Linked DNA regions of Arabidopsis thaliana. The protein of the gene in region 3 purifies or fractionates together with the protein of the main gene of each other region. This does not show direct contact. Each region holds a gene or a part of one and is shown on either strand. Other genes may lie near its edges. The genes, in order: AT5G27140, AT2G18720, CKA1 and EIF2 GAMMA.

Region 1 (5,430 bases), about 17 Mb from region 3:
AAAAGGTAAATATTGAGCGTGACACTTTTTGCATCAGAGCTTTCTCTACATCAATCATGGATATCTCAAGGTTTCTGCATTTTTGTTCAACATACATATAAGGCATTTTCTAGAGCCTAAAGCCGGATCAATGAAATCCGGGGCCCTATTTAAATTACGAAAACAAAGTACTCTTATCTTAAAAATTATAGAGTAAATAGAAACTAATTTAAACAAAATTCTGGAGTTAAAAACAAAAGTACAATAATATTCTCAAATATTTTGGACCACACAGTTATTTAGGATTTATATGTATAAAACTAACTATTTTCTCCCATTATCAAAAATCAATATATGTATATATAACTAAAATAAAATTTCTTTGAGGCCCCTTTAGAATGGGGGCCACTGTAATGTTTCATGTTCATGTGTTATGGTCCGGCTCTTAGTAGCATCGCAATTTCAATAGGTTCGATTGAGTGATTCAAAGGTTATGGAATTCAAAGCCACATAACCTTTTTACAAATTTGATTTTGTTTTTGATCCACTTTTCTCTTTCATTTATTTATGGAATTGGATTTTTTTTTTATCCAACTCTTATGGATGTTTAGCTTGTGAATTAATCATGTTTAAATCCACTTGTAAATCAAGTCTAAAGCGACAGAACCTTGATGTTTACGTTCTTGTGAACATATTTGTTGGTCTTAACCACATCTTTAACTGATTATTTTTTTTGTCAAGTCTACCGAACCAAATGACAAGGGAAACCGTTTTTGAATTGAATGACTTTGAAAGAGTATCAACATGATCCTAACAAAACGTCAAGAAACTAGACGTGTTACTCACGCATAATTTTGTATATCTGAGCTAATGGCTTACCATAGCAACTGGTTAACAGAAAAGAAATAGATTAGAGAAATTAAAAGCATCAGGAGTAATAATCCTGTTACACCCTCTTGTTTGCTCTTCTTTGCGGGATCTTCCACGGTTTCAAGTTCTGCTTCTTTCTTCCTCTTCTTCGAACACTCCTCAGTTTTGGGTTCTTCCTCATCATCAGCCTCCTTCTTTGTATCTTTGTCATTAACTTCTTCTTCTTCTTCGCATGCTCCTAAATCTCCTCCTTCAAGATTTCTCAAGCGCGCTTCAAGCTGTCGAAAAAAATTAGACCATCAAAGAAGGAAGAAAAATGTAGATAGGATCGGGCGGGAGAGAAGAATACCTTTAAGCGGCTTTCGACTCCCATAGTGTTGTCTTGGCCATTACCAAAAGCATCACACCGGATAGCAAGAGCAGATTTTGCAGCTAGTGAACGTGCGATTTTACCCTTGTTCTCTGGTGCAGCTTGCCTAACCAAAGGTGCGTGGTAGATTAAACCATACTTTGGAGTGGCTTGTTTGGTCTTAAGGGCTTTATATAGGGTCTTTTCAGCTCCAAGAATCTGAATTGTGCTCCATGGTAGCTTTGAGAGGTTCCATAAACTACCACAATGAGATATTAAGCGAGCACCGACTAGCTCCCCGACAAGGGCAGTTAGATTTGGTGCAATTTTGTTCATTTTGTTCTTCAAGTCGTCACAAAGCAGAGTTTTGTCCTCAGCGATTGAAAGAACTTGGTCACAGAGTTCTTGGATGTGCATCAAATCAAGGTCACTGACTTCAGTTCTCGTAGACACCATAGAAGCCTCTTTTAGTTCTGCTTCAACTTCATCAGCCAATATCTGAGATGACATTGGACACAGAAAGATGTTTCATAAAGACAAAACTATAGTTTAATGGAAACAAAAAGTCAAGGAGAATGGTAAATAAGGCTTTACCTCAGAGAAGTCTAGCGTTGCAGCATTAATCCGATTCCCCATTAGTTTAACCACCTTGGCATATAAGATATTGTCCTGTACAATATTAGCAAGCTCGGGAAAATGCAAACCGTACAATTCACAAACGCTCGTAGTGTAAGTGTTAAGCTCTTTGTCAAGATCATCAAGCAGACTGATAGATAGGATTATCATGGTCTCCACCTAACAAAACATTTTAAGTATGAGAGGGGAAAAGTAACATAAGCAAGGGTAAAACAAAACACAGAGAACTCAATGACTACCTTGTCAGAGGTGATTTTTAGTTTATATCTAGCAAGGATGTGAGACAATTCCAAGCTCACTGGAGCTAAATCATTATCATCCAATCCGGATAAAAGTTCGGTTAACTGACTTCTCACACCTCGTAACAGCTCCATAACAGCATCGTTGTGAACACATTCTATGTCCTAGAGGAGAGAAGCAAATCCGTAAGACACAAGCCATATATATACAGAAATATGTAAAAGATCATAACAAAATACACACCAGTTTCTCTGTGATGATATCTCCAAGCTTTGGATCAGCCACAGCTAAGATTTCACCATCATCACAGTTATTTTTCAAAAACTTGTGTAGACCCTTGCTTGGAGTTCAGATGTGTTGTCAAACTTATGAAAAGCTTTTAGCTTAACCATCCTTCGAGCTGACTCTGCAGAGTAGAACTCAGTACCCAAATCCTACAAGAACAAATTTGACATACTTAGAATATTAAAAACAAACGACACATATAGACAAGGTTAAGATCAATGAAAGTAAGAGAATGAATAAGGTAAATAACCTCAACATTAGAGAGCTTTCCTTCATCTAATACTTTAAAGAGTGCAAAACCACCTGACGTCTCAAACAGTACGAGCATCTTTAAGATTACGAGAAACCCTTTAATCAACTCAACATCTCAAAGTCAGAACTATACTTAGTCAAAAACTAATACTTGGAAGCCACGTTCCACTGACAACGGAGAAAGATTCAATAAATACCTAAGAGGATTTAAGCAAAGCTGCTGCGTTAGAGAAAGAAAAAAAGAGGAGCAACGAATTTGCTATAAGGGTTCGAGATTCTTAATCGACGATCTATATATATAAGAAAATAAATATATGATTTTCTATTAAAAAGTTACGGAAAAAAAACATGTGAAAATATAATTTTCACAAAAAACTAAAAAAAAACCTTTAAAAAAAAAACTATTCTTATTTTCTTAAAATGGTATATTTCTAAAAAGAATTATACAATTAATTTTTAAAGATGTCAAAATAACCGACCTTACTTCTAAGGGAAAAGATTATCAAAAACAAAGTTTATTTATTCTCTATCAAAAACAGAGTTTGATCTGCTAATTTTAATATACAAATTGTAAAATATATGATTACCTTAAAGAAACTATAAAATTAATTACTAATTCGAAAAATGATTATAGTTACTTTTTTAATAAAATGTTGGTATAAATATGTTCATCTAATCTACGTTACATACATAATCTTAAATTAATCTCAAGTACTCTGTTCAAAGTTCAAACACATCACCTAACAAGATGACCATTAAGGAATCAAAAAGTGTTCAGCTAAAGGCTAAAACTCATGTAAAATTACAAGCAAAAGCTCCAAAAACTGTGTTCTTCTTTTCTGAGAATCCAAATTCAAATCACTAACTTGAATTTAACATCAACAAACTAGTAAGTGGAATTGCAAAACTGATTCAAACAATTTACTTTCAACTTCGAAAGGGTTCACATCAGAGTATCAAACAATAAAGGAAAAAAGGTTTACAAAAACTTAAATTGGATCAAGAATCTCTGTTTACAATGAGACAAAATCAGAACAAGTTCTGAAGATTACAACCACATCATATCAGACATGACGTCTAAAGTCGGAATCTCCGAAGTTGATCATTGCATTGGTGTTATCGAGACCGAAGTAGCTGTTTAGACCAAACACATCATCGTTGGATAGATCATTCCAAAAGCAGATCTCATCATCCAAATTGACATTGGCCTCTGTTTGTGTTTCTTGTAGTAGTAGATTGATTTGGTTAATCTCTTCCTCTGTTTCAAATCCTTGGATCTCGGAGCTAGGGTTTTGATCAAAAGAAGCAACTTGTGAAGATGATTCTCCACAGATCTGATAGAGAGAGGAGTAACAGTCCTGATCAAAAGACGGAGACGAGAGGTTAGGGTTTTGATCGCCATGGAAAGAAGAAAAGGTTTGATCGCTGCAATACTCGTTGACAGAGTTTGGAGTAAAAGTAGAAGCAATTTGCGAATAAGAAGATCCATCACAATCCTCGACGTCGAGAGAACAAGTACTATTAGGGTTTTGGTCGAAACTAGAAACAAGTTGAGATTTTTCTTCCTTCTCAAGGCAAGCCATCACATGCTTCTTCATTCTCTGTAAACGATCCTCGATAATGCTTAACTCAGAGAGATCATCACACGAATGGTAGAGATCAGGGTCTTCCCACCAAAATCCTAGTTTGGATCCGGCCGGGTTAACAATCTTGGGTGGAGGCTTGCGATTTAGGTAACAATCAGCGATTTCGTAGGCAGAGGAGTAACCGGAGAAGGAATAGACAACATCGGAACTATCGGAGGGAGAGGTTACGAAGACGGCGATGTTAGCACCGGAGATAAGACAGAGATCGGCGGCTTTGGAAAAAACAGTTTGACGGCGTTTAGAGCAAGTCACGGCTCGTTGCTCTTTGGTTTCTCGTTTCTTTATTTCGATTTTGCGCTTTGTTCCTTTCTTCATCATCGTGGAATCAGATGAAGGCATAATGTTTCTTACGGAGAGACAAATAGACACAGAGAAAAAGTGAAAAGAGAGAGTAGAAGCAAGATAGATATATTACCCATATTTATAGATGTAATAGCCGCCTGAGTTATATATGTCAAACTTAATTAGGTCTTGTTGTTTTCCTTTTACTGCCCAACTTTATTTCTATGCATTTAACGTTTTTTTTCTTTCCTACTAAAACGTTTTAGAGATTTCTTTTATTACAACAATAGCAGAAAAAAATTATTACTACTATAAACAATTAAACATATATATTGGATATTCAAAATTATCTAAATATTAGATTTTAACCCGCGTTATACCGTAGAAATAATTTATTTTTTTAAATCAGTATATATAAAAGTTTGCAAATTATATCTATCTATAAAATAAAAATATTTTATAGTTTACAATTGTTATTAAGTAACGTTCTTTCAAACCCGTTCCGCCAAACTCGTCCCGTAAAAAAACCCAGTGGTACACCGTTAATTTAAATATATAATTAAAATAAATATTTTACGGGATTGCAATTGTATTTTAGTTTGTCAAACAAATTTTTTTAAAAATATTTGTCGAAATCTAATTCAAATTTTGGAGAAATTAGATTTAGTGAATTGATAAGAAATGTATTTAGGTGCATTTTGCTCATTTTAAGGGATTGCAATTGTATTTTGGTTTGTCAAACATTTTTTGTTTTAAATAGTTACCGAAATTTAGTTCAATTTTGGAGAAATCTGCGTGATATATGGGATTAGAATATATTTGGAATTTTTTTTGCTTGTTAATTAATTTATTGCAAAAAAAACAATAATTAAAAGCTAGTGGCAGCCATTA
Region 2 (5,689 bases), on a different chromosome or scaffold from region 3:
AGCAGTAAGTGACAAAACATCAGCATTTCTACGAACTAGTGATGAAATAACCCTCAAATCTCCACAATTCAAGAGAAATTCACATGAAAAGTTTCGAACTTTAAGTCGCAATATCTATAACAAGATCATTATCTTCGATTTCAAATGGAACCCATCTGAAATCTGAAAGAAGAAGTACCTTCTAGAGTTGATAACAAGACCGAGATTCCATGATTTGGCTTTACAAGTGTTCCTCCTGGTCTTTGTCGAAACAGAGAAGAAGCTTCCTTTGTAAAGAGAAGAGCTTCGCAATCTCGAAGATGATTTGTGATTGAGACGAGACAGAGACGCGAAGTTTGAAGAAGAAGAAGAGTAAGAGGAAACTTCGCTTACCGTTATCATCCTTATCCTTCTTCTCCTTCTCCACAACAACGACGATTTCTTCTTTTCCTTTTCACTTTTTTTTTTTTTCTTACGGAATCCAGCTAATGGGCCAGGCCTTTTAGGCCCAATACATCTTTTGCACATTATTAATCTTTGTTGTTTTGGGCGTTAGGAATGAGACCATGACTTCAAGTCTTTCTTTCTGTTTCTTCAAGACTTCAAGTTTCAAGTTTCAACAATCACAAATTATATCTTTCTCTCAAATGAACTATGTAGGATAATTAGTTAATTAAGCTGTAACATCCATAGACTATAAAACTTTTAATAACAAATCAAGATGATGCAATTGATCAAACTCTAGTTAGACTTCACACAAAAAGCATAAGCACATAGAAGTTTAGTTATCTCCTTTGGTGACAGATTAGGAATACTCTGAAGATATAATGAGACTACAAGTTTGGTATATGTGAATGCATCAAATATAATCATGCCAAAGAAGGAGGAGAAGGGATAAAAATGGTGGTTCCAGCCTCAATCTGACCGCGACCGATCAAACGCCAATGCCTATCCACACGGCGACTTATAGCCACTTTCTCTCCAATGCTGGTGCACACAGGGAGTGTCAGATTAACTTTCACCATATCTTTCTTTACTCCAATAACCATAGCTCCCGTAGACATCGATCCGATATTCAACATCAGTATCTCTCCCTTGACTAGCTTTGACACTCTCATTTGCCTCTCTGTTTCCTTTGTCTTCACTCCAATGAGACGTGTCAGAAGCTGGAAACTCACTTCAAGTTCAACATAGACATCAGGGAGAGTACCTATTTCACCAAGGACTTGACCAACTAACCTATCACCACGCGTAAGCGTAGGATCCATGCTTGTCCCAATTCCAATCAAACCTCCCGGGACAGCAAACTGAAGCTCGTTCTGTTCCGCGTACAATGAAGTTATACGCGTGTAAATGGGAGTGCATTTAGTGTCTCCATTCTCATCTTTTCTAGTGATTCCAGGTCTTATCTCTATTATATGCCCCACCTTCAAAACACCCTGCAAACAAAGCAAAGAGAGACATAAGTTACATTGATTCAACCGCGATTTATCCTAGTTTTTCGGGGTATTGAGTATGTTTTACCTGAAGGATACTCCCACCTGCAACTCCACCTTTCATACCATCATAATCAGAGCCAGGTTTATTGACATCAAAAGAACGAATCACAATCATTCTTGGAGGTGACACAAAATCCCTCACAGGGAGTGGAATCTTCTTGACAATGTACTCACACAAAACATCGATGTTGTATTTCAGTTGCGCTGAGACAGGAACTATAGGAGCACCTTCCGCATTCGTGTTCTGTAATAACAAGTTTAAAACTTAACCAACTAATCAAGAAGTGAAAAATGCAAAAAAAAAACAGAATGGGAAAATTGAATCAAACCGTTATAAATCTCTGGATGTCCTCGTGCTGTTTAATAGCCTCGTTTTCTTGGATGAGATCAATCTTGTTCTGAATGATTATGATATCTTTAAGATGCATCATATCAACAGAAGCAAGATGTTCAGCTGTTTGTGGTTGTGGACATGTCTCATTCGCAGCAATGATTAGTAAAGCACCATCCATAATCGCTGCTCCATTCAGCATTGTCGCCATTAGGATATCGTGTCCCTAATCAACACACAAAACACCTCATTAACATATAGAAAATGGTTACAAAAGATTTAGAAATAGTGTTAAAACTCATTTTATACCGGGCAATCAACAAATGAGACATGTCTTAGTAGTTTCATCTTGTACTTCTCATGTCCAGAGACATCACAACTTGGGTTGTCTTCTTTGCCACTCCCGAAAGACCTATAATTAACACATATCATAAGTTGCTACGTACACTACGTAACCTTATTGTAGCAAAAGAAGAGCAAGAATTCACTTGTAGGCTACTGGTCTAGGGCATTTTTCACATTTGTAAATCTTTGCGTTTGCGTAACCAAGTTTAATGGTAATGTTACGCTCCAATTCACTCTTGAATTTGACAGTGTGCACACCGGAAACGGCTTTCACGATTGTCGATTTCCCGTGAGCGACATGGCCAATGGTTCCTGAGATATAGAGAGCATAGTCATATCTTTAGCTTTCAATGCACGGCTGATCAGTTTCTTCAGCATCAAAACTCAATGAAACAAAAACTTGTGTATACCTATGTTAATGGTGGCTTGACGAGAGATGACCTCAGGAGAGAGAGGATGCAGCTGAGCTACATCAAGTTTACTTAGATCTTGTTCAGCTAAGCCCTTGTTCTTCGACATTACGACAGATTTCATCTTAAACACTCTGTTGCAATCAATCAAAGTTCACAACTTTAGAACAACGTTGATCAGAGCCAATACAATAACACTAGAAGTTTCGAAAGGCTGTTCAGAAACTAGGGTTTTTATGCAAGATGGATGGGTTCCGTTCACAATAGTTACGATTCGATTAAATTCAATTAGGGTTGCTAATCTATTTCACTGAAGTTCTTATAAAAATGATTTACACAAACCTGAAGTACGGTAAGAGGTAGATGAAGAAGTTTGCTCGCAGAGATTTCAGAGGAGAAAGCGTGCCGTTGAAGGTTTGTGTTTTTGGTTTTGATAAAGTCAGGTGGCGTGTAAGGTATATTTATAGGTAGGGTTTTATCTTAACGTTTACTGTTTGTCTTTTTCGCCAACTTCATTTTTCCATGTGTCAATAAAACATGTCTTACAATTTTTATTTTATAATTGTCGGTTTCTTACCCGAAATGTTTTTTTATAGGAAAATTTGTGTTAGGTAATTTTGCAATTTCATTTACAAAATATAGCACGCTCCTTTTGAGATGGGCTAAAATCGTTCCAAAGTTTGGGCTTACACGCCTAACCATTGGCCCACTCCAGTTTACTTCTATCTTTCACCAAACTAAGAAACATTGATCCTTGAACAAAAAGTAGTATATGTTTATATGATGACAAAAAAAAAAGAGTAGGAAATCTATGATTCTATAGGAGTGTAAATGAATAAGCTGTGATAAATTTAGGTTATTTTTCTTAACGATATATATTGTTAGATCAAATTTTATAGTTACATCATTTGGAGTATAATGTAAATATGTTCCGCTTTATAATAATGTAAATATGATTTGTAATACTAATGAGAACACACGCTCATTGTCTTCCAGTTCAAGAAATATCTTAAACCCCACTTTTTATCAGCCACCTGAATTTGAGTCTTCCTCTGCCACATAATAAATTGTTTACATGGACCAATTCTTGGTTACAAAACATCTGATATCATATCGTGCAATTAAGAAGGTATTAAATGATGTTTTTTTCTGTGGCATTTGTATATACTTTCAAGTTTCGACCAATTCTATAAGTTAAGAAAAAGGCATTGAGGGAAATTTAGGTTAGAAAAAGTACACAACGATCCCAGCAATGGGAAGTAGCTATCACTTTCAGTGACCCTATTTCTCTGAGTGGGCAATAACATTGTAGGCCCCATTCTGTGGAAAATCCACTAACTTCAATGTCTGCTCTCATTTTCTATTGTCTCCTTCGCTGTTTTTTTACAATTTACGTTACCACCAAAACTATTCCTTTGTTTAATGACGAAAACGCCACTCTTTCTAAGCAAAATGTCAGAGAATTTTGTTTCTTTGTTGGAGAGTTGAAAATATTTTTTACATAGAAAAAGAAACCAATAATGCAGTCAAATAATAATAGGAAGCAAATAATAATGCAAGTATCTCTAATTCTCTATATCAAATTGTATTCAATCATATTCACCAGATGTAACCTCTATAATGGAACCTTTTTGAATATTAAAATATCATTAGATCCTATTCTTACAATGTATCAATCAATTACTAATTAATTTTCTCTGGTTTTCTTGATATAACAATAACGTTAAAAAATCTCATTGTTAATCTCTTTATGCCATCATTAGTATTGTAAGATTTTGTACACTTTAAATTGTAAATTTGATCTTACAGAAACAAAAGATCTACAAATCTTAGTTACAGAAGATAATGGTATTAAACTATACAAATCTTAGTAGTTTAATATTATTAATAATCAAAATTATTCTAAATTAGAACTTTTACAAAATAAACATTTATCAGTCGCTTTCATAAATGTCAAACAATAAAAAAAGAAAAAGAATCAAAGATCTAAAGAGTGGCATTTTTATGACGTCACATTGAAATCCAACCGTGTAAATTCTTTTTTTTTCAATATAAGCAAATTAATTCACACGTTTTGTGCGCTGTCTTCGAAACTAAATCATTTATAAAAAAGACAAAACAGACAAGAAAATACAAACTGTCAAAAGAAGATTTTATATTGGTTGATTTGAAATCTCTCAGCAAAGAAGAAGAAGAAAGATTAAAAAAAAACAATCCTTTATTATTTTTCATTTCAACTCCAATTTTGATTATCTGGGTTTCGAATATTCCTCATTTTCTCCAATCACAGGACGAAAAGTAATCATCTTTTTGTCTTTTCTTCTCCGGCGAGAGACTACAATGGACTCTCCGGTATCAAAAACCGATGCATCGAAAGAGAAATTCGTGGCTTCACGACCATCAACGGCTGATTCAAAGACGATGAGAGGTTGTGGACTCGCGAATCTGGCATGGGTTGGTGTAGATAAAGTAGAGCTTCGTCAGAGGTTGATGATGCCTGAGTATCTTCGTCTCGCTATGCGTGACTGTATCAAACGCAAAGATTCCTCGGCTATTCCTGATCATTTACTTCTTCCTGGTGGTGCTGTTGCTGATATGGCTCCTCATGCTCCTATGGTTGTTTTCATTAACCCCAATTCTGGTGGTCGTCATGGTCCTGTTCTTAAAGAGAGGCTTCAACAGTTGATGAGCGAGGAACAGGTTTTGCTCTCACTGAACTTGTATTTCAAATCTTTTTCTTTGGGTTTTTGGGGGAATTTCGAATCTAATTTGTATCTACTTTGTGTTTTGATTATGTTAGTTTGGAAACTTTCTTAAAGTCTCTGGCTTTTAAGTTTTTAATGCTTGATTTATATGTTTATGCTTAGCTGATGTTAGATCTAGTGTTTTGTTGGAACTTTGAAGGATGAGTTACGTTTAAAGATTGAGTCTTTTGGAAAGCTGAGTGATGTTGATGTTGTCAAGTTATTGGTTTGAGCTTTTGATATTGAAACTTCATGGTGACTTTTGTGTTGATACAGGTGTTTGACCTCACGGAAGTGAAGCCGCATGAGTTTGTTCGATACGGGTTGGGGTGTTTGGAGAAAGTGGCAGCGGAAGGAGATGAATGTGCAAAAGAATGCAGA
Region 3 (6,646 bases):
TCTCTCGCCACGTGGCACATGCTCCCTTGCACGCATTCTCTCGTGTTTCCACAAGCCTCTCTCAGTAATAAACTAAAATTTCATTGGGCCACTCAGGCCCCGTTTTACTTAATTGGCTTTTATTAAATGGCCCATTTCAGTCATATATCAATCACAAAACGAGGAGCCCATAATGCAAAAATAACGAGGCAGACGCGCTTAATTTTCTCAAATATCCAAAAATGGCTAATTTCAAAAGGGGTTAACCTACAGATTTGAGGCGCGTGGTGATAACTCGCTTATAGTGCAAGTGGTTATTTGTTTTCCAATGAATAGTTAATTATTTAATACTAATGTATGAAGAAAATTTCATTGGGCCACTATGGCCCCGTTTTACTTAATTGGCTTTTATTAAATGGCCCATTTCAGTCATATATCGATCACAAGACGAGGAGCCCATAATGCAAAAATAATCAGGCAGACGCGCTTAATTTCCTCAAATATCCAAAAATGGCTAATTTCAAAAGGGGTTAACCTACAGATTTGTGGCGCGTGGTGATAACTCGCTTATAGTGCAAGTGGTTATTTATTTTCCAATGAATAGTTAATTATTTACCATACAAATTGTCTTCTAATGTGGGCTTACTAATTACCTTACGGCCTTTTCGTTTTCAGGCCTAGGAAGTTAGGCCCATTTTACATATTTCTTGTCGTTTTCATTTTTAATGTTTTTCTGCTCATTCGTATTACTATCGCAATTTTTTTTAACACTAAAGTAACTAACAAATTCATCTTCGTCAACTAGACTAATTTTAGTTTTTAACAAACCACTTTAATTTTGATTGATTTTTTTTTCTCTTTATGAATTTGCAACATAATCAACATTTTTATTTCTTAACTAACTTTAATTTTCTTCACTCTTTATTTCTTAAAAGATATCGAATAAGTTTAGATACAAATTTATTTAAGTATCTTATTCGATATATTGTACAATGTCTTTGAAAAATAAAAAAAAGAATTCATTATGGCAACGAAAATATAAAACAAAGATTTCATTAACGAAAATACAAACCAAAGTTTTTATTTAATTAAGGTTTTAATTAACGTATTATTAAACATGGAAATTTATTTTCCAAAATTACTGGTACTTTAATGTAAAAGATTCTAATTTTATTTTAATAATGAAAAAATATTTTCTTATAAAATCATTTAAATATTCAAAAAATAGTTAAATAATATTAGTACGTTTTTTGTTTATTTTGGTAAAAACAATTGCGATAGTAGTAATACGAATGAGCAGAAAAACATTAAAAATAATTAAATAAAACTAGTACGTTTTTTTGTTTTATTGTAATTCTGTTTTTTTTTTTTTGGTTTGATACAACATACATGAAAAATATATTTAAAATATAAGACGTTTCAGACATTCGAATTCAGGACAAATTGTTTAATAAGTTGGACAGAAGAAACATCACCTTGATTTAAAAAAAATACTTTGAAGAAAAGATGAACATTACCATCATCATCATCAGTAAGTTTATAGACAGAGAGATCTCTGTGTTTCATTGACTTCTCATTCTGCTGGTTTCTGCTGCCCTAACTTGGGCGAAGTAAGCGTGCGCCTGTCAACAAATCAACAAACCATATTAATTTACCTAATATGTGATTTATATACAAATACAAAGGCTTCTAATTTGTTTTCTGAAGCATGCGTACCATGGCTTCTTTTGCAGTTAATCTGTCTTGATGATCATACCGAAGTAGCTTGTCGAGGAAATCAATCGCCTACACCGTTTTAAACAAAACCCTTAAGAACCCAACTAAACCATTTTCTATACAAGGAGTTAAGGACTCAAGGAAAGGAGTAAACCTCGGGTGAAACTAAGTGCTGATTGTCTGCGTTGATGAATTTGGACCAAGGTTTCCTGCTATGCCTGTAGGTTGTGTTCCATTGAACCAGAGAATGATACAACACTAATTCTCAGCTTCAGCTCATTACATGGCAATGCCAAGCTCGGAGATTACAATATAATGTTTAAGTTTCACATACCGCCCAACAAGTGCTTCCAGTTGTGGATCAAGTTCTAACTGGTACTTGTTCAGATAAGCATTCAATTCGTCAGTCCCAAGCACCTGGTGAATAAGAAGGAGAGTTCATGACGACAATGGAACGGAGATCTCCCATATTCTAATACTGAATTACAAGTAATATACCTTGGCGATTTTCACTAGCTGATCCTGGTTGTCATGGCCGTAGAAGAAAGGTTCCTTACGGAATATCTAATATGGGTAATGAGGAAAAATTAGGTCAAAATTAGATCACCACAAGTTCATTTCTCAGAAAAGAAAGGAAAGCCGTTCAAATGTTATATCATGAACTTACCATCCCTGCAAACATACAGCCAAGACTCCACATATCCAATGAATAGTCATAGTCTTGCAAGTCCACAAGAAGTTCAGGTCCCTTGAAATATCTGATACACATTAGGAGAGATAAACATTAGAGTGAAGCTAGGCAACAGCGAAAAAAATAAAATAAAGGGTATGAAGTAAAACCATACCTTGAGGCAACACGGACATTATACTCTTTTCCAGGGTGGTAAAACTCAGCAAGACCCCAATCTATAAGACGAAGCTTACGCAGCTCATGGTCAATCATAACATTATGAGGCTTGACGTCTCTGTGCATTATTCCTTGTGAATGGCAGAAGTCTAGTGCCTGCAACAAGTAGTCTTACCAAATGTGAGTATGAAGTCAAATGGAATACTTATATAATCCAACCAATACCAGAATTTATACCTTCAACAGCTCATAGATGTAGTAACGAATGTCGTAATCAGTCAACGTAGGATACAAAACTTTAAAGTCTGTGCTGTTAACATATTCAAATATCAAGCTTGGAGTTTTCGAATGTTGATCTCTAACAACATCAAGCAGCTTGACAATATTTGGCCCACCGCATAGGTTCTGAAGTATTTTAATCTCTCTTCTTATCTACGAAAAAAAGATCATAGAGAGATTCAAGAAACAACCCCAATCATCCAAAACAATGTAAAACAATTCACCTTCTTTTTCTTAACAGGTTTGAGGATTTTGATAATGCACTTCTCCTTGCTGTTCACATTTATACCCTCGAAAACTTCACTATATTTTCCACGCCCTACCTTCCTTACTACCTCATAATCATCTTGCTCCCTGAGAGAGCAAATAACAAGATCAAAATGTTAAACTAAAAAATCATTGCTTTACAATAGAAGAACTAAAAGGCAAAATAAGCACAACTAAAAAATCAAATTCATCAATAGAGATAAAAGTAAAGTTTTTTACATTAGCAGCATCAATTTGATTAGATTAGCTTCATCAAGAAGCAAATCCAGAGCAAGCTGAATTCAAATTCAATACAAACACTACAAAAATCGATTAAATTACTTTAGCAACTACCAATTCAGCTAATTCTAGGGTTTAACAATCTTACCCCCATTGAACAATGAGTGACTCGTAATCCCAATAATCCTTGGGTCGAATCACATTGACTTCGGTGTACACACGAGCTTTCGACATCGCCCGCGTCTGGTTAGAATCAGAGATCTCTACGAGAAAATCTGGATCGATCGTAGTACAACCGGAAACTTCCGAGACAGCTCTCGCTGTGGGAGTGACGATAGATGAGCGTAGGATAGGAGAGTGCGCCGTTGGCGCACGTAAGGCTAAGACGGCGCACAGTAACAAGAGACGTCGAAGAGGAGAATCGAAGAAGAGGAAGAACAAGAAGAAAAGCGTATCTATCATTCACTACGCTCTTCCGCACCAGATTAACTTTTTGTTTTCCTTTTTTCGTTTGCGTTATTTTTGCGCCAACTAAATTTGCCATAAAGGCCTGACATAGTATAATGGGCTTTATTTATGGCCCAATATATTTGGACCCAAATAGTCCACCCGCTTATATACATGTTAGGGTTCTTATTTTTGGGAAGCTTTTGAAATTTCGGATTTGCATTAAGCGAGGATTCGATCAGTGATAATGGAGCTAAGTCTCGAGAAAGTCTGCAATAATGGGCAAGTAAAAGGTGGAAACTTTCTATCTGTGTCCCCACGATTCATCAAGGAGGCTGCGACAAAGCCATTTAAAGATTGTTCAGACTCCTATCACTATCAATGGGTTCTCCGACAAATGTAACAGCTAATTGGTTGATACACGCGAAGATTACGCTATGGTTGTTTTAGGAGTTGAGGCATTTGATGGATGAAGAGGCTCAATGTATAGTGTGGAAGACTGCAAAAAGCTATTGATCTTGAAGGGGTTGAATTGGTTAACAATACTGATTTTTGATTCCAATGTTGAGAACTCGAGGGAAGATTCTGTCGTCTTTACTCATTTAGCTGACCAAGCCATGAAAAACAACTAGAGGTAAAAACTCAGATTCATGTATCATCCTCTGTTTTTATTGTTTGCAATTATTTGAAAATTTTGAATTTTTCGTTGAGGACGTCTTATATTATTCAAGAGACACAATTTATTGCAAGATTGAGTAGAGTCTCAATCAAAATGTTGAGGCATATAGTGACTTCAATTATCAGAAAAAAAGATGATAAGACTCTCTGTAGGGACAAATATCCCATCATTCATGTTCTGTCACAAAACCAAGATTCTGCAGCTTACTTATATACTCCTTCCTTCTCTTCTTCTTACCACTAAACCAATTTATAGCTAATATTTGTAAGGGATATATACATTTGTGGAGAGGAATCAATACTCTCTTTTTTATAATTTGGAATTATTAGTTTGGTACAAAGATGTGTGTCTGATCCACTTGGACTCTTCTCAATTTTTAAACCAATCCATTACCACACACACTCCCTCCTTAGACTGACTCCCTATCTTGTACTCTCCATTAGAATGACATAACTACCCTGTTCTGTCTTGTTCATTGCTTTTGGTGGTAAGGGTAGTTTATGGTTTTCTTTGTTTGGAGAATTTGAGTTCTCTTTTTCTGTTTGGTCACAATTATCAAAAGAGAGGAAGAAGCTCATTTTCTTGATCTTATTCTCTCTCTTTTAGTAGTACATTACGGCACGTCTTCTTCATGAGAAGGACTTGAAATAGTGTTCCATGGTGAATTTCTTGAGTGAAAAGAAACTGCGAGCTAAGTGTTCGTAATATGTCAGCAAAGAAGAAAGATCTTTTGTCCTCAGCTATGAAAAGAACCAGTGAATGGTTTTTTATTCTCTTCATAAGATTATTTTGTTTCTCAATCCATTTTTTGTTTCCAGTCCTGAAGTAGAAATCGTTTATAATACTCTTTATTACATCGTTTCAGGATTTCTTCTCAAGAAGTATCTAGTGATGTCACCGTTCATGTAGGAGAAGCTTCGTTTTCACTGCACAAGGTAGATTATAGATCTGTATTTAGCGATCAATCTCTCTGATGTAAAGCCAATGACATGATCACATTCGTGCCGATTCGGTTGTTTTCTCTCTGAATCTTGCAGTTTCCACTCATGTCAAAATGTGGGTTTATCAAGAAACTTGTGTCGGAATCAAGCAAAGATTCAGATTCCACTGTTATCAAGATACCAGATATTCCAGGAGGCTCTGAAGCATTTGAGCTAGCGGCTAAGTTCTGCTACGGCATTAACTTTGATATGAGCACAGAGAACATTGCCATGTTGCGATGTGCAGCGGAGTATCTAGAGATGACAGAGGAACACTCTGTGGAAAATCTCGTTGTAAGAGCCGAAGCTTACTTGAATGAAGTAGCTCTCAAGAGCTTATCGAGTTCGATCACAGTCTTGCACAAATCAGAGAAGTTGTTGCCCATTGCTGAAAGAGTCAAACTTGTAAGCCGTTGCATCGATGCAATTGCTTATATGACTTGTCAAGAGAGCCATTTTTGCAGTCCTTCTTCAAGTAATAGCGGTAACAATGAGGTTGTGGTTCAGCAGCAGAGCAAGCAGCCTGTTGTTGATTGGTGGGCTGAAGACTTAACGGTTCTTAGGATTGATTCGTTTCAACGTGTCCTGATCGCGATGATGGCTAGAGGGTTTAAGCAGTATGGACTTGGTCCAGTGCTTATGCTCTATGCTCAGAAATCTCTTCGAGGGTTGGTGAGTTTCTTACAAACACACATTACCATTTTGGTTGAGTCTCTTCTTTTGTTGAAGTTCCATAAACTAGGGACAAAGAATGATGGGTATCCGTTAAAAGTTTGTTTCGTTTCTTTGCAAATGCAGGAAATTTTCGGGAAAGGAATGAAGAAGATTGAGCCAAAACAAGAACACGAGAAAAGAGTGATTCTTGAAACAATCGTAAGCCTTCTTCCTCGAGAGAAAAATGCAATGTCGGTTAGCTTTCTCTCTATGCTTCTACGCGCAGCAATATTCCTCGAAACAACGGTTGCTTGTAGACTTGACTTGGAAAACAGAATGGGATTACAATTAGGACAAGCCGTGCTCGATGATCTCTTGATTCCTTCTTATTCATTCACTGGAGATCACTCCATGTTTGATACTGACACTGTTCAACGCATTCTCATGAATTATCTCGAGTTTGAAGTCGAAGGAGTTCGCTTAAGCAATAATGGTGTTGATCTTGCTGGTGATATGGAACGTGTTGGTAAACTTTTGGAGAATTATATGGCTGAAATTGCTTCTGATAGAAATGTGAGC
Region 4 (6,329 bases), on a different chromosome or scaffold from region 3:
TATTATCTATAAGTTAGTTGATTTGTCAACTGTTAGTTAATTAACTACTTCACCAAGAAATAAATCAGTGACTTAAGTTTATACTAAGAGAAGCAGAAAACACATGAGGCCACATGAAACTCCCGAGTTTTGTTTTTCTCTTAAAAAACGAGAACAGCTTTAGCGTTATATATATATATGGCCATTAGATATATAGTATAACAACAATAATAAGCCGTTAAGTATGGTTAGTGTTGTAACCGACTAACCGTCCGGTCAAAATTAAGAATGTTCAGTCAAAGTAGTTACAAGTTCATTAATTTCTAACATGCAAAAAGTATCACACCTTCTTCTTTGACTAATTATTTTCCACATAAAAATAATTAATGGTCATAATTAATTCTATAGATTAATGTTTTAATTCGTGACTAGAAATAAAGCTACATAAGCTTCACGGTATAACTACTGGATTAACCAAATACACGTTAGTAAATCAAATTTAATAATAGTCAGACTTTTATTTACTTCGTATCATCGTGATTCACACGGCAAATTCTAATTAACATAGTTTTAGTTAAATTATTACTTATTTTTTTAAAGTTTAAGTTTTAAATTTTCGGGAAAATTATTATTATGTTTTTTAAAATGAGTTTAACACTTTTTTCAATTGGATGGCTTTATTTCCTTTTTTTGTTCCCCTAAGGATTAACGGTCACATAAGGAATTTAAAACCTGGAGCGGACGCTTTTTCCCCGCTTCAAGAAGGAGCGCCTCCATTACAAAGTGGAAGCTATTGGTGGAAGAGAATTTGGCTCTGTGGAAGGGCAAGCCAATAGAAGGTATTGTGGAGCAAGTGCGTGATGAAAGTACCATTCGGGTTTATCTTCTTCCAGAGTTTCAATTTGTGCAAGTATTTGTTGCGGGAGTCTAGGTAACTAAACTTGTTTCCCTGCATGAAAGGTTGGCATGTTAACCCATCACTTTGGAACACAGTCAGCGATTCTTCTCATTTCAATGGGAAGGCGAACCACAAATGCAAGTGTTGTTGAGACAGTTCCAGATGAGCCGAATGGAGACTTGCTGCCTCTGCAGTCCCGTCTATGTAACATAAGTTTTCGCACGGATATACACAGTGGAAGGCAAGACACTCAATTCAAATCGCAAACAAATAACGTTCTTTAGAGAGAAGACATGAACATTTTGACTAAAAAGTCGTATTTATTATAAAAAGTCGTACTTGATCGGATCCTAATGAGTAATGAAGTTGTTCCTTTTCTGAAGAAAGTATGTATAGTCAAGTAGCAGAGTATCTCTGACAAAAATTTCAAAAAAAAAAAGAGAGACAACAAAATTTAGTAATATCTAAGAGAAAAACACAAACAAAGAGCAAACTAGTAACAATAACAAAGAGCAAACTAGTAACAATAACAAATCAGGTACTGTTTGAAGATGTTTAATCCGCAAAGACGAACTCTCCAAAATCCCCCAACGAGAAAAAGAGTTTTATTATCTTTTTGAGGGGTTTAACAATCTTTTTTTCAGAAACACAAACAAAAAGGACAAAAATAACACATAGCTTAGAAAGGTGAAGGAGGAACTTCGATGGTGGTTCCAGCTTGAATCTGACCCCAACCAATCAAACGCCAATGCTTTTCCACACGTCTGCTTAGAGCCACTTTCTCTCCTTTGCTGGTACAAACAGGCGCAGTCAGTTGCAGTTTAGCCAGATCGACTTTAACTCCTACAACTTTGGCTCCAGTGGACATCGAACCAATGTTGAGCATCAGAATCTCTCCTTTCGTTAGCTTTGACACTTTCCCTTGTTTCTCTGATCCCTTTGTTCTCACTCCCAACAAACGTCGTAGAAGAAAGAAGTTCACCTACAGATTTTACATAACCACAAATTAAAAGGAGAAAATACACTAAGAGACCCATTAGGACCATAAAGACTGAAGAGTATGGTTGTGAGGAGTTGTTTATACCTCGAGTTCAACAAATACATCAGGAAGTGAACCGATTTCACCAAGGACTTGACCAACTAATCGATCTGCACGAGTGAGAGTTGGGTCCATTGTTGTTCCAACTCCTATTAGACCTCCAGGAACAGCAAACTGAAGCTCGTTCTGTTCCGCGTAGAGTGAAATGATGCGAGAGTAAATTGGAGTGCATTTTGAGTTGCCACGCTCGTCTTTGGTAACGATACCAGGTCGGATTTCGATTAATTGGTTGACTCTCAAAACACCCTACAATATACATGTAGTTAAGAGATACTGATTACACCATATAAAGCTTGATGTACTTAAGAGGCACAACAAGAGAAAGGGAGAGAGAGAGAATAGATACCCGTAGGATACTTCCACCTGCAACTCCACCTTTGATCTCATCAACCTCATAACCAGGTTTGTTGACATCAAAAGACCGAATCACTATCATATTTGGGGGTGACACAAAATTCCTCTCAGGGATTGGGATCTTCTTGACAATGTACTCGCACACCACATCAATGTTGTATTTCAGTTGTGCTGAGACAGGGACGATCGGAGCAGCATCAGCAACAGTGTTCTGCAACAGGATGTGAAAGAAATTTTAGAACCAAGTTCTTCAATACTTAGCTTAACCAAGTGACGAAATGAGAATGCTACAACAGATCCTTAAGAGATAAGAAAACCTAACCATTATAAATTTCTGAATTGCCTCGTGCTGATTAATGGCAACATTCTCTTGAATAAGATCAATCTTGTTCTGAAGGATGATGATATGCTTAAGTTGCATAATCTCAACGGCAGCAAGATGTTCAGACGTTTGTGGTTGTGGACAAGTTTCATTTGCAGCGATTAAAAGTAGTGCACCATCCATGATGGCTGCTCCATTAAGCATTGTTGCCATGAGAATATCGTGACCCTGAAGAATAGAACAAGAATACATTCAACAAGAATGAAGTAGAGATAAGAAAAGCAAAAGATGGAAACATCAATGAATACTTCTCCATCAACCCTCACTCTTTAAGCCCTTCACCCAATTAAATGAGAGACCCAAAATCATGCAGGTGGAGCACAACAACATCGATAATACACAATAAACGAACAGCTCATTGACACATGAAATGGTTATACACTTATACTATCAAATGAAAATGGTAATTAATGAAGAATAAAGATAACGGTAAAACTCATCATACCGGGCAATCAACGAATGAGACATGCCTCAATAGTTTCATCTTGGAGTTTTCAAATCCGGGGACATCACAATTGGGAGTGTCTTCCTTTCCACTTCCGTAGGCCCTAATACAACAGATAAGTTGTTAGACCTTGACTCAAACCTTATAGTAGAAGTAGAAGATAAAAACACTGTTGTAAGAAGGACTCACTTGTAGCACATTGGTCTAGGGCATTTCTCATCCTCACATTTGTAAATCTTGGCGTTTGCATATCCAAGCTTAATGGTAATGTTACGCTCCAATTCATTTTTAAAACGGACAGTCTGTACAGAGAAGATAAGGAAACCATAGAAATCACTTCACCCACTCCAATTGATCAAACGCTGCAAGCTAGAAAAGCCTCTAGGATTACAATTGTGAAAACCGCATAATCAAATTTTACCTGGACACCAGAAATAGCTTTAACAACAGTGGACTTTCCATGAGCGACATGACCAATGGTTCCTGAAACATAACACTATCATCTTTAGCTTATAGGAACTGCCAGTTTCTTCAACATCAACTTATATAAAAGACTCAAAAAAGCGTTACCTATATTAATAGTGGCCTGGCGAGAAATGACCTCAGGAGACAGAGGATGTAGCACAGTTACATCCAATTTTTTAAGATCTTGCTCAGCCAAACCCTTGTTCCTCGACATTATCAAAGATTGAAGCTTCTGCTCCTGCTTAAAACCGAGCATCAAATCAGAACCCTAACCCTAGTTAATCTGAAAAAGACTACTTCTCAGGTTTTTCTACATCTGCCCTAATCAAGTCGACACACAGATTCTATACCTGAGCTCCGTTACCTAAATATCACAATAATTTCGATTCGCAATCTAAAAAAACATTATGATTACGATTAGATTCCCCGAACTAATCTTCGTGCGATAGAAATGGGAACAATTAGGTTGAACAAATATTGAATCCGTAGGAGATGTAATTCGAGATCGAAACGAACCTGAGCGATGCGAAAGAACAACGGAGAAGGTCAAATTTGAGAGATAAAAAAGAGTGAGAAAGCGGCGCAGCTTGAAGAAGATGCACAAAATGGTTTTTTTTTTTCTATCCAAGTCCCTAAAGGGTTTTTGGTTTCCTTCGCGTAACCTTTTTTTTTTTTCCCTTTCTAAAATTTCTTACAAAATAATGAAATACTAGTATTTAATTAAATTACTATCAGTAGAGACTAATTTACTTTTTCTATGAATCAAAGTATCAAACCCAAAACATTTCATCATATTAATTTTATGTGCAGGGCCGGCCCGACTAAATTTAATGCCTAAAAGCAAAAAACAATTTGGCCCAACATAAAACACAGTTAAACAAAAAAAACCATAAAACTTTTAGAATTCGAACTTGAGACAGACACCTCAAGTGAAAGGCCTATTTGCGATCGACTATAAGCGTTCGTGTTCCTCTATCTCTCTCGGGTTTGTCAATTTATCTTTCCGAACCAGTTATGAATTTGTTTTTTTTTGGAAGGTTTTGAAGTCTTTGAATCTCGGCTGTTGAAGTCAGAAACGTTGGTTTTAAACCAATATCACCAGGTGTAATGGAGTTTGATTGAGTCCCAAATTTTTTAAAAAAAAATCACTGAAAAGAGTTGGGGCAAGTTTATAACAAATTAAGTAGATTAATTCTGTACAACAACAACAAAGGATCTTCATCGTGTAGAACTTGAGCCGTGAAAAAAAAAAACCAGATAATAATCTTGGGTCTAAAATGGAGAAAAAACTTTGAAATGGGGTCAAATAAATAAATGAATGAATTGGTGAGAGAGAAATCACAGAGGTTTTGCAAGAAAGAAACAACCCCACAAGAAGTAAAAATTTACACTTTTGTAATCTTCTTTCCTTTTGGTTCAAGAAGGCACCCCTCCCCCACTCAGACTAAAAAGAAACAGAGGAAGAGCTTTTTTAGAATCCGAGCTTCTCACTAGTGCAAGAATACGAATTCTGGGTTTTCCAGTAGCTCTTTGGCCGGTTTGACACTCGCAAAGTCTTTTTCGTGCATCGAATTCGAAATCTCGTCTATTGAGAAGGGAATGCTGCGAACAATAAACCGGTTTTAGTTTCTACTACTGATATTAATCTTTAAGAAATGATTCGAGTTACCTGGAATTATCATCCAACAAGAAGGAATTGCTGTCGGCATCGTTGGATTCTTCTGTCATGAGCGCACGCATGCTCGATATTACCTCTTGAGACACACTTCGGGTGTTATAGCAGTCGTCCCAGTATAATGTGCATATCCGGTAAAGTTGTTGGACACTAAGGATCTGTAATAAAGTGAAACAAGAAAGCCATTAAGTATGGAGTCTAGGCAAAAACGTGTTTCTAGAAACTAAGAAGGAGCTTTACCGGGCAAAGATCATGTACTATATCATCGTATGATACTCTGTACTTCTGGTGGATAACCTGATAAGTTACGAGAGGAGAAGTATTCGTTTTTGAAGATTCAAGAAACAAGAGTTCCACAAGTTAGTATTAAACAAGAGTAAAACATACCAGGAACCCAACAGCTTGTCTGATGTGTTTCAGTTCATCCCAAGATGGCCCAGCATACTGCAAAATCAAAGAATGATATAATGAGCCGAAAGAAACTTTTTCCGGAAGGAAAACGTGAGGTAGGAACTTACTTCATTGACTTGGCCGCACCACAATTCTAGCTCTGCAAGCCCAGACTTTACAAATTCTCCATTGCTGAATGTACAACACTCTTTACGCAGTAGAAGGCTATTGTAAGATGTTAAGGAAAAAACCAAGTAAGAAAACACTAGTGATCTTGGCTTATATCTTCCATAGGAATTTGAGAAATATCAACCATAGGAAGGTTTGTACTTTGACGAGTATCGATGATAAGGTGTGTAGAAACCATTAGATGTAATTCTCAAGTATTATTTACCTGTTAAATAGTTGCACATTGACGAACGAGAAAGTTTGAGTGTGTATCTTCTGGATGAGTACCAAAGGAACCTGTACACCATGAAACATATGAGAATTTGAGGATTTGAAAACAGAATAATGTCATGGAACTTTTACTATTTCCTTACATAATTATCTTTCAATATGGCAAGCAGCGAATTGAGACCATCAATAATGCTCTGCCAGTGAATAGCAGGAGAATCTTTTCCAAGAGATCTAGCAGATCTT

The links.
Region 1: the proteins of CKA1 (region 3) and AT5G27140 fractionate together in Arabidopsis thaliana (co-fractionation; one large-scale study listed by BioGRID). This does not show direct contact.
Region 2: the proteins of CKA1 (region 3) and AT2G18720 fractionate together in Arabidopsis thaliana (co-fractionation; one large-scale study listed by BioGRID). This does not show direct contact.
Region 4: the proteins of CKA1 (region 3) and EIF2 GAMMA fractionate together in Arabidopsis thaliana (co-fractionation; one large-scale study listed by BioGRID). This does not show direct contact.

The regions. Positions count from the first base shown.
Region 1 is NC_003076.8:9,545,799-9,551,228, reverse strand, and holds AT5G27140 (NOP56-like pre RNA processing ribonucleoprotein), read right to left. Parts: upstream 2,688-5,430; coding exon 2,610-2,687; intron 2,509-2,609; coding exon 2,464-2,508; intron 2,411-2,463; coding exon 2,318-2,410; intron 2,239-2,317; coding exon 2,074-2,238; intron 1,994-2,073; coding exon 1,793-1,993; intron 1,697-1,792; coding exon 1,199-1,696; intron 1,128-1,198; coding exon 855-1,127; downstream 1-854. Other genes in the region: AGL39 (AGAMOUS-like 39), read right to left, coding at 3,676-4,596. UniProt on the Arabidopsis thaliana protein: Required for 60S ribosomal subunit biogenesis.
Region 2 is NC_003071.7:8,114,072-8,119,760, forward strand, and holds AT2G18720 (Translation elongation factor EF1A/initiation factor IF2gamma family protein), read right to left. Parts: upstream 2,928-5,689; 5' UTR 2,907-2,927; intron 2,741-2,906; exon of another isoform or gene 2,699-2,740; 5' UTR 2,689-2,698; coding exon 2,565-2,688; intron 2,467-2,564; coding exon 2,298-2,466; intron 2,268-2,297; exon of another isoform or gene 2,242-2,267; coding exon of another isoform or gene 2,222-2,241; coding exon 2,119-2,221; intron 2,036-2,118; coding exon 1,808-2,035; intron 1,723-1,807; coding exon 1,504-1,722; intron 1,419-1,503; coding exon 849-1,418; 3' UTR 784-848; downstream 1-783. Other genes in the region: SCY1 (SECY homolog 1), read right to left, coding at 179-381; AT2G18721 (uncharacterized protein), read left to right, coding at 2,928-3,035; DGK3 (diacylglycerol kinase 3), read left to right, coding at 4,905-5,264, 5,585-5,689.
Region 3 is NC_003076.8:26,879,615-26,886,260, forward strand, and holds CKA1 (casein kinase alpha 1), read right to left. Parts: upstream 4,466-6,646; 5' UTR 3,770-4,465; coding exon 3,456-3,769; intron 3,176-3,455; coding exon 3,046-3,175; intron 2,975-3,045; coding exon 2,780-2,974; intron 2,699-2,779; coding exon 2,541-2,698; intron 2,454-2,540; coding exon 2,363-2,453; intron 2,260-2,362; coding exon 2,194-2,259; intron 2,113-2,193; coding exon 2,030-2,112; intron 1,914-2,029; coding exon 1,850-1,913; intron 1,765-1,849; coding exon 1,696-1,764; intron 1,602-1,695; coding exon 1,542-1,601; 3' UTR 1,352-1,541; downstream 1-1,351. Other genes in the region: AT5G67385 (Phototropic-responsive NPH3 family protein), read left to right, coding at 5,140-5,195, 5,299-5,368, 5,471-6,085, 6,212-6,646. UniProt on the Arabidopsis thaliana protein: Casein kinases are operationally defined by their preferential utilization of acidic proteins such as caseins as substrates. Phosphorylates casein in vitro. The alpha chain contains the catalytic site.
Region 4 is NC_003070.9:1,094,930-1,101,258, reverse strand, and holds EIF2 GAMMA (eukaryotic translation initiation factor 2 gamma subunit), read right to left. Parts: upstream 4,378-6,329; 5' UTR 4,139-4,377; exon of another isoform or gene 3,973-4,138; intron 3,861-3,972; 5' UTR 3,837-3,860; coding exon 3,728-3,836; intron 3,641-3,727; coding exon 3,579-3,640; intron 3,460-3,578; coding exon 3,347-3,459; intron 3,261-3,346; coding exon 3,158-3,260; intron 2,881-3,157; coding exon 2,653-2,880; intron 2,542-2,652; coding exon 2,323-2,541; intron 2,223-2,322; coding exon 1,962-2,222; intron 1,860-1,961; coding exon 1,557-1,859; 3' UTR 1,358-1,556; downstream 1-1,357. Other genes in the region: XIB (myosin XI B), read right to left, coding at 5,113-5,224, 5,292-5,455, 5,538-5,594, 5,685-5,741, 5,816-5,912, 6,082-6,152, 6,230-6,329.